2 linked regions of the Danio rerio genome follow. The main gene of each other region encodes a partner of the protein of the gene in region 2 in a complex. Links are inferred from orthologs where the notes say so. Each region holds a gene or a part of one and is shown on either strand. Other genes may lie near its edges.

Evidence for each region.
Region 1: the proteins of pawr (region 2) and spsb1 are in contact, whole or in part, in a crystal structure (PDB 2JK9), measured with the Homo sapiens proteins. The link is inferred for Danio rerio from reciprocal best matches to the Homo sapiens genes PAWR and SPSB1. Residues at the interface, in NP_001341661.1 of Homo sapiens: Glu68, Leu69, Asn70, Asn71, Asn72, Leu73, Pro74; in NP_079382.2 of Homo sapiens: Arg77, His78, Pro79, Val80, Ala81, Gln82, Gly110, Thr111, Tyr129, Val216, Trp217, Gly218.

Annotation. Positions count from the first base shown.
Region 1 is NC_133198.1:25,434,346-25,438,490, forward strand, and holds the end of spsb1 (SPRY domain-containing SOCS box protein 1), read right to left. Parts: intron 2,287-4,145; coding exon 2,159-2,286; 3' UTR 889-2,158; downstream 1-888. UniProt on the Homo sapiens protein: Substrate recognition component of a SCF-like ECS (Elongin BC-CUL2/5-SOCS-box protein) E3 ubiquitin-protein ligase complex which mediates the ubiquitination and subsequent proteasomal degradation of target proteins.
Region 2 is NC_133179.1:22,060,717-22,065,081, reverse strand, and holds the start of pawr (PRKC apoptosis WT1 regulator protein), read left to right. Parts: upstream 1-1,386; 5' UTR 1,387-1,650; coding exon 1,651-2,121; intron 2,122-4,365. UniProt on the Homo sapiens protein: Pro-apoptotic protein capable of selectively inducing apoptosis in cancer cells, sensitizing the cells to diverse apoptotic stimuli and causing regression of tumors in animal models.

The DNA of each region.
Region 1 (4,145 bases), on a different chromosome or scaffold from region 2:
TTTTTTTTATAGCGCCACATTTTAATCTAAATGCACTGGATTTTCATTTTGCCTGTCTTCCAAAAATCACAGTGCCCTAAAATACTGATGACTCACTCTGCACTGCAGAGACCGCTCTAATTAAAGCCTACCAAAATGTGAACATCCCACCCCAATATAATTTTCAACAAGCAATACATTCAGAAAAAGGACATTTTGAATATACAGTTGAAGCCAGAAATATTAGCCTCCCTATTTATTTTTTCCTCCATATTCAGTTTAACGAACTGAAGATTCAACACATTTCTAAACAATAGTTTTAATAACTAATTTCTAATAACGGATTAATTTTTATCTTTGCCATGATGACAGTAAACAATTTTACCAGATATTTTTCAAGACACTTGTATACAGCTTAAAGTGACATTAAAAGGCTTAACTAGGTTCATTAGCTTAACTAGGCAGGTTAGGGTAATAAGGCAAGTTATTGTATAAATGTTTTTTTTTTTTTGTAGACAATCGAAAAAAATATATACCTTAAAGGGGCTAATAATTTTGACCTTAAAATAGTTTTAAAAAAAAATTATAACTGCTTTTATTCTAGTCAAAATATTACAAGACTTTCTCCAGAATATTAAATATTATCAGACAAACTGTGAAAATGGCCTTGCTCTGTAAAACATCATTTGGGAAATATTTTAAAAAGAAAAATTAAATCAAAGGGGGGCTAATAATTCTGATGTCAACTATATGAATTACCTTTAAATGTTACACAAGCAAATTAAATAACAAACCAAAAGTGTTTTAAATTATAATAAACTTTATTAGATAGTTACCAATATTATCTACATCACTTAATACAAAGAGAATGGTGGTCTCCAGGCAGAAAGGGTTTAAAAACAGGCAACCAAACTATCCCCCTCATGCTTAGCAAAATGGCTGCCAAACATGAACTAGATTAACACATCTAAAAATACTAGAATAGGGAGGGGGGAAAAAAACACAGAAAAACAACAATTGGCAATCTTACCTTCTCAGCATCAAGACTTAAGAAATAGAGCATCAACATTTGCCCACGTTTCACTCATTAACTCATAGACAAGGCACCACACAGCAGTGTCACTACTCCATTCCTGCTTTCCCCAAATCATCAACAGATTAAAACAGTCCTCAAGATAAAAACTAAATTGCCAATGTGGGTGTTCACAGGATTTAGGGGCCATTACACAAAGCAAGCTGTACAACCTCTTATTGATCAACGTATGCTACATAGGTTCACAGTGATGACATCTTTCATTCATTATAAAAAGGACTTCAAATCATGGCTCTCTCCTAATGTATCAGTATTTTGAGCCAGGCACTTTCTGATATTGCAGTGTGAATAGAGGCGAGGGACCCGTTGAGTGGTTTTAAAGAGCTAGCATAGCACACTAGCAGTGGCCGTTTCCATGAATGCTAGCCTCTAAACTCCCCCCCTCTCACAGACGTCAACGACTGTTTTTCCAGGCCAGACGGTCAGACTTACAGCTAAAACCAGGCTATTTTTAACCTGCCAAGAGTGTGCAGGGGGAGACCTCGCCTTCCATTAGCTAAAATGCTAACCGCTGCTACTGATCTGAAGTGGACTCAGCTACTACAGTATACTGACTGCAATGGGATAATTTAAAAAGCGCAATATATAAAAAGTCAATATTAACTTAAAAACTTGGTTGTTAAGTTTAACGGTCTTGAGATGGAATTTGTTTTGCATTGGCCACAAAGAGTTGCCTTGTGGACCCACAAGCTAATGACATGATACAAGAAAGCTTAAGGTATGCCAATACATCATTAAAAAAGGGGATGGAGTAAAAAAAAAAAAAATCATAAAAAGTAAAAAGGCCTTTAACAGCTGAAGTTACCAAGCCATGATTAGAGAGAAGAAGGGTTCTTGTTTTCAAATCTGCCACAGGATTCTGGCCTAAGCCTCCGGTTTGATTTCCAGTACATGAGTGAAGCAAAAGACGAATCCATGCTTGATCCTGAAAGCATCAAGCATGAGGTGTCCTTGGTTGGATTTGTAAAAACAGTATCGTTGGTACCAAGAACTATGATGAAACAGGCTTGCCAGAAAGACTATTTATCCCAGAGAGAATCCGAGGCAGTTGCTATGCCTTGAATGCTTGTAAAGGCACTACTATCATCATTGGTAGAGTAGATAGTTCTTTAGGGAGGCTGGTAAGGGCAGTCCATGGATTTCACTCAGTCGTTCTCTTCCCAATGCCACCCGTACAGAGCGCCTACAGAGGTCCATTAATGGCAGAGGTTCAGCTACAGGGAGACAGAGAAAAGACAGAAATTAAAAATTATAGCTCACAAGTATGGCAGAAACTTTAAGATCTGGGCATAGGCTGTTTTTTTTGTTGTTGTTGTTTTTTTCCCAGTCAGCACGTTTTAGCGATCACAATCAGAGATCCTCATTTACCCAAAACAGACACAGTGCAAGTCCATGACTGTGCAAGCGTTAAAAATGATTTGAGTCTATTGTGGTTGTATAATGGTATATAATGACCAATTAGGGCAAGGCAATTTGGCCTAAAATCAAGATTAATTTAAAATTAACTATTACAATTAATGAACGATTTTTATTGTTTTTTGGCCTCATAGTTCACTGACAGGTTTTGTACAGTAAATATGCTCTCATATTACAAGCAAGAGATTATTGCTTAAAGGGTACATTTCTTGATTTTGAAAATAATTAAAGGAAACTCACCATCTGATTATTTTTTGAACAACTAAAATTAACACACACTGGCTTGTTATTTGACGAGGCATGACTGTGACTATGACTGGGCAACTAATAGAAATGAAAACATTGAGAAAAGCTGAAATCTTTCAATACAGTAGGAATTCGTGGATTTCTATGCCGTGCAATATTGAAGAAAATGTCAATACATTATTCTAATACATTATTAGAAAGATTTGATTCATTATAATGGCACCAATGCACTTTGGTTCACTCTCTGTATGAAGCAAGTAGCACACCAGGGGCCTCATGCATCAACGCTGCGTACACACAAAACTTTGCGTACGCCAGGTTTCACGCTCAGAATCACTCATGTTTGGATTTATTAACGATGAAATTAATGTGGGAATGTGTGCAGCTCCACGCCAACTTCATGGCTGGCGTACGCACATTTTTTTGTGCGTGTCTTCTCAGCTGTATGAGAAGAGTTCATCCGCATGTCTAGTATACAAGGTTTCCGTACCATACAGTTGACCATCCAAACATTAAAGCACAATTTGCAGCGGTCGCCAGTTTTCCCCAATGTAATCGTAGCTATCTACTGCACGCACATTGCTATAAAGGCAACATCTGAGGATGAACTTGCATACGTGAATCAGAAACATTTCCATGCAATAAATGTGCAAATAAAATATGATGCAGACTTATTAATCATTCCTACTTGTCTTTCTCATGATGATGAAGAGTATAGGCAAAATCTGATATGTAGCGGAAAAAAAAAAAAAAAAAGAGAAAGTTTCAGACGCTTGATTCGAACAGAGTTCATGCCTGAACGTGTGAAAACATATTGACACGCATTTAACGAGCTGCACCACTCAGGCTGTTAAAGACACTACAAAATTTTACATCTTTACGTCGCACTATATCTTTTTTAATTCACTCAGTGCGATGCTCAGACCTAACTGTGTTAACTGCATCAGCTAAACTCTCCCACTCAATTTTTTTTCTTTTGTTATTAATTCCGGAGGACAAACTTGCAAGTAAAATCGTTTTTCTCCGGTCTACCTCCGAAAGCAGCACCTCCAGTTCACATTCTGTTTAAAGTTTCTCTTTTGGCTTGCTTTTGCCATTGCTTTTTCGTTGGGTTTTGCCAAAGTAGAGTCATTAGCATATTCATACGGGGGAGGAGGCAGGGAGGGGTTTTGCGCTCGTGCATGTTGCACTCAGTTTCACATACATTCAGATGTACAAAGAATATGCGTGGGATTCGGCGTACACAGCGTTTCATACATCTGAATTTTTTTCAGCGTACGCACATCTACAACTTTGTGCGTACGCAATGTTTTAGTATGATTTCCACGCAAGTCTTCGTACAGCTTACTGCATGTGAACAACTGATTAGCTGACAATAATTGAATCAAGATTAATCCATTGGAGTAGAAAC
Region 2 (4,365 bases):
TTTTTTTTCTCTGATTGATTTTAAACATCAGCTTCCCCTCAGAGAGGATTCTGGACATTGTGATATATCTTAGTACGTGTCAAAAATGTGTAAATACCAATTTTCAGATGATTTGATGGCTTGACAGAGATTGTGAAAGTCAGATGCGTGACTCTGTGTGCACTTCTGTTATCTAACACTCTGAGGTTTATCATCTGTGAGAGTCTTGAGGTCACAAACAGCCAAAGTCTGTGAAACAAGTGACTCATGCTCTCACAGGACCTGTGGGAGAACAGGCAGATTCATCTCTCATACACATTGTCTGATGTCTCAGCACCGGAGAAATATCTATCTATCTATCTATCTATCTATCTATCTATCTATCTATCTATCTATCTATCTATCTATCTATCTATCTATCTATCTATCTATCTGTCTGTCTGTCTGTCTGTCTGTCTGTCTGTCTGTCTGTCTGTCTGTCTGTCTGTCTGTCTGTCTGTCTGTCTGTCTGTCTGTCCTTATTTACAGTCCATTCATTCATCTATCCATTCATTACAAAGATGCTAAATGCTAAAGTGCTACTAAACAAATACTGACACAACCACATGGTTAGGCAAGTTTTTTTTTTTTTTAATTAAGCACAGAAACATGGCATTATCATGTTACCATTTTAAATCTGTGCATTTTTACCACCTTAGTTCCCAATTTGTATCTATCTGTCATGTCCATCCTTCCATTAAATAGTTTTAAAATGCTTAAGTGTCAGTAGCAGTAGCTTTTTATGGTCATTTATAGATGTATAGATGCCTTCAAGCATGCAATTACTAAAAAAGGATTCACTAGCCTATGCTAGATTTTAATGGTATTATCAATGACATGTCAACAAACATATTACCACTTTTATATATTTGTAACTAAAATATAAAACATATTCAGATGCTTATTCTATCTATCTATCTATCTATCTATCTATCTATCTATCTATCTATCTATCTATCTATCTATCTATCTATCTATCTATCTATCTATCTATCTATCTATCTGTCTGTCTGTCTGTCTGTCTGTCTGTCTGTCTGTCTGTCTGTCTGTCTGTCTGTCTGTCTGTCTGTCTGTCTGTCTGTCTGTTAAACAAATAATATCATATATCTCATTACCTATTTCATTAACACTGTAGCAATAATATAATATAATATAATATAATATAATATAATATAATATAATATAATATAATATAATATAATATAATATAATATAATATAATATAATATAATATAATCCTAAAAAAAGTTTGCCTAGCAGCATCAGCTCGCTATCAAAAGGCTGTCGGCTGTTTCCGTTAATTTACGTAAGCTTTCGGAAACGGGGGCAGGACTCGGCGTTTGAGCGCGCCTGCAACTAATCCAGTTCATTCCACCAGTTCACCTGAACTCTTGACGACTGTTCCTGCGCGCGCAGGTGAGCTTTACCGGACACTTTCCTTCAAAACAATACTTTTCTGACAGCTTTACGCTGCTCTGAAGCGACTTCATCGCAGTTTTGGACAACTTTAAAGTCTTTGTGATTATTTTGAAAGACTTCTGAGGAATGTCGCGGATCTGAACAAAAAAGTGCGTGTACTCTTGTCTGTGTTTACAAAGTGATTCACACGAGACGTTTGCGAGAAAGCAAATCATGGCAACAGGAGGATTTAAATCTAACAGCGCGACAGACTTTCTGGAGGAATGGAAAGCAAAGCGTGAAAAGATGAGAGCAAAGATGCTTGGAGATATCGCCGCCGCCACCGGCAGAACCACGGAGTTAAACAACAACGGCAGCAGCTCGGTGAACTGCGTCTCCTCTGCGCCCTCTTATCCGGTGGCTCGGTCCTCCTCTTCATCCGCTCTGAAGGACGAGCCCAAGACATCCGAGCCGCCCGGGGGAAACTTGAAGAAGACGCCGGAGAAAGTGAGCGCAGTCCCGCAGGCGGATAGCCCGAGCCCCGCCGGTGTGGATGACAGTGATAAGGAGAGTCCCACACACAGCAAGAGCAAAGAGAAGAAGAGCTCGGGACCCAGCGCCAGAAAGGGCAAAGGACAGATCGAGAAGAGGAAGTTAAGAGAGAAGAGGAGGTCAACAGGTGTTGTCAGCATACCGTCCAACGAGGTCAGTTCACTTGCTTTAAAGTTTACCTTTTCACCAAGGCAATAGCAGAAGCCTACTAAAATGCTGCTTATTACAACAGCTGTCATAGACATTGTTTTTAATGGTTGCTACACTTTCAAAACAAAATAATAACATGGTGCTTGTTTAAGTTGTTTCCAGATCTAGACATTTTATAGATTGTGTAAAACATGCATTTTAACAAATATACATTGCACAAAAAGTGTAAATACCTTCTGTTCTATTAATCTTTTTATATATTAATAGTGAGCCCTGCTATACATGAAGCTTTATTTACATGCCTTTAAAACATGCCATTATGCTAGTTTTCAAATGGTGTTACCAATGGCGTAATGTCAACAAACAAAGTACTGCTTTATATTTTGTAACTAGAATTAAAAGCATGTTTTTACCATTTTAACCATGGCAAGGTAAACAATAATCAGGTGCTTATTTACGTCATCTATCTATCTATCTATCTATCTATCTATCTATCTATCTATCTATCTATCTATCTATCTATCTATCTGTCTGTCTGTCTGTCTGTCTGTCTGTCTGTCTGTCTGTCTGTCTGTCTGTCTGTCTGTCTTTCTGTCTGTTCTTGGTAATTAATACTTGCTTAGGATACTTTGATGTAAACTTTGGTACTGAATAATAGAAGTAAAGTTGTTCTTTTATTCGCAAATTCAGACTTTCTCCTTAATAATATAATTTTATGAAATTTTTATTTGTAAACTCTAAATAGCAAAATCATATTAGCAGCTAGTGACTATCAAAGTACAACATTGTTCACAGTCAAATAAACTGTGTAAATGTTGTTTTCAAGTCATACTTGCAAGGTTATTTTAGACCAAATATTCAAAGTGCCATAGTAAACAATGTAGGGAGTGTGTCACAAGTGGATGAATGTGTGAATATAAAGCCTCTGTTACTGAAAATATTAATATGCAATGTATTTGCATGCTCTTCGAAGAATGCAATGTTGTTACCATCATGTTAGTTTAAAAAGAAGCCGCATTGTCTTAGTATATAATGTGCCATATTTACGTGTACAGTAAGGAATACAAGATAAAACCATCATGCCTCTTTTTATTGGCTGCATGAATTTGCCAAAAGTATGATAAGAACAACAACAAAAATAAACACAGAAATCATATTATTGTCATGGCGAAGGCCCATATCCTGAGTTGCAACCATATTTGCTTACTGAAAGTGTTCTAAATATGTTTAGTAACTAAAGTATACAAGCTTGCTTGCATTATTACAGCCATATTTGCAATCTTACGTCTACTAACCATCCTACGTGCCTAAAACAAATCATAATCAGTGTCCAAATACCACAGAACTTTTTTTTTTTCTAAGTAATTTGTTGGTAATTTTGTCTAAAACTGACATTATTACAACCAGATTTGCTTATCTAGGCTCAACTCTGGCCAATTTATATAACTTAACTGTGAAGTCCATCGTTAAATGTCACTTAATGAGTGAACTCGCATACCTACATTATGTAATCTTGGTGAAATATCTGTTTAATGCATGTTCTCCTCCAAACAACACTCCTATAAATCAAGACTAGAAGGCAACAAGTCTGATGACTAACAGATTGGGATCACATTATACATATTTTCTCCATTTCATGATTTATAATGACTGTGAGTTGCTGAGTTACGTTGTAGATCATGGGATGGAGCTGATGGAGAACACGGTACGGCTGTTCCTCTAGTTAAAAACACTTCATTAGCAGATCGGTTCACCATAACAATTAGCCTCCAAATCTGTCACCGTTATCTCTCACCTTTCAACCCGTCACATTCCCCTGCATGAGCAGTGGGAGGCTTGTTAGTGCATATGCCAATGTGAATGTCTACCACCCAGCTCCACTGCCCTGCGGATAGTTGCTGTTGGAGGCTGACCAGTATGTCTGCTTTGGCTGGAGATATCCTGTCATTAGCCCCTCGCACTGTGCCAAGGTAAAGTAGTTTGGGAAGTAGGGGGCAGGCCAAGACTTAATGTTAGGGTGTCTTTGAGAGCAAGTATACACACTCATGCCCCAGTGTCTCTCTGCACGAATGTAGAGCTGGGTAAATAGTTTATTGTTTTGACATTATTCTGTCTGGAGCTGAAGTTATTATAAGTGAGGGAGGGCATACTAGTGTAAAGATGGTTAACGGCTATGACATCCTGTCTAAATGTGTTGAACTTAAGGGTCCCATCACCTGAAACTGTGATGTCCAGCAGTATATCTCA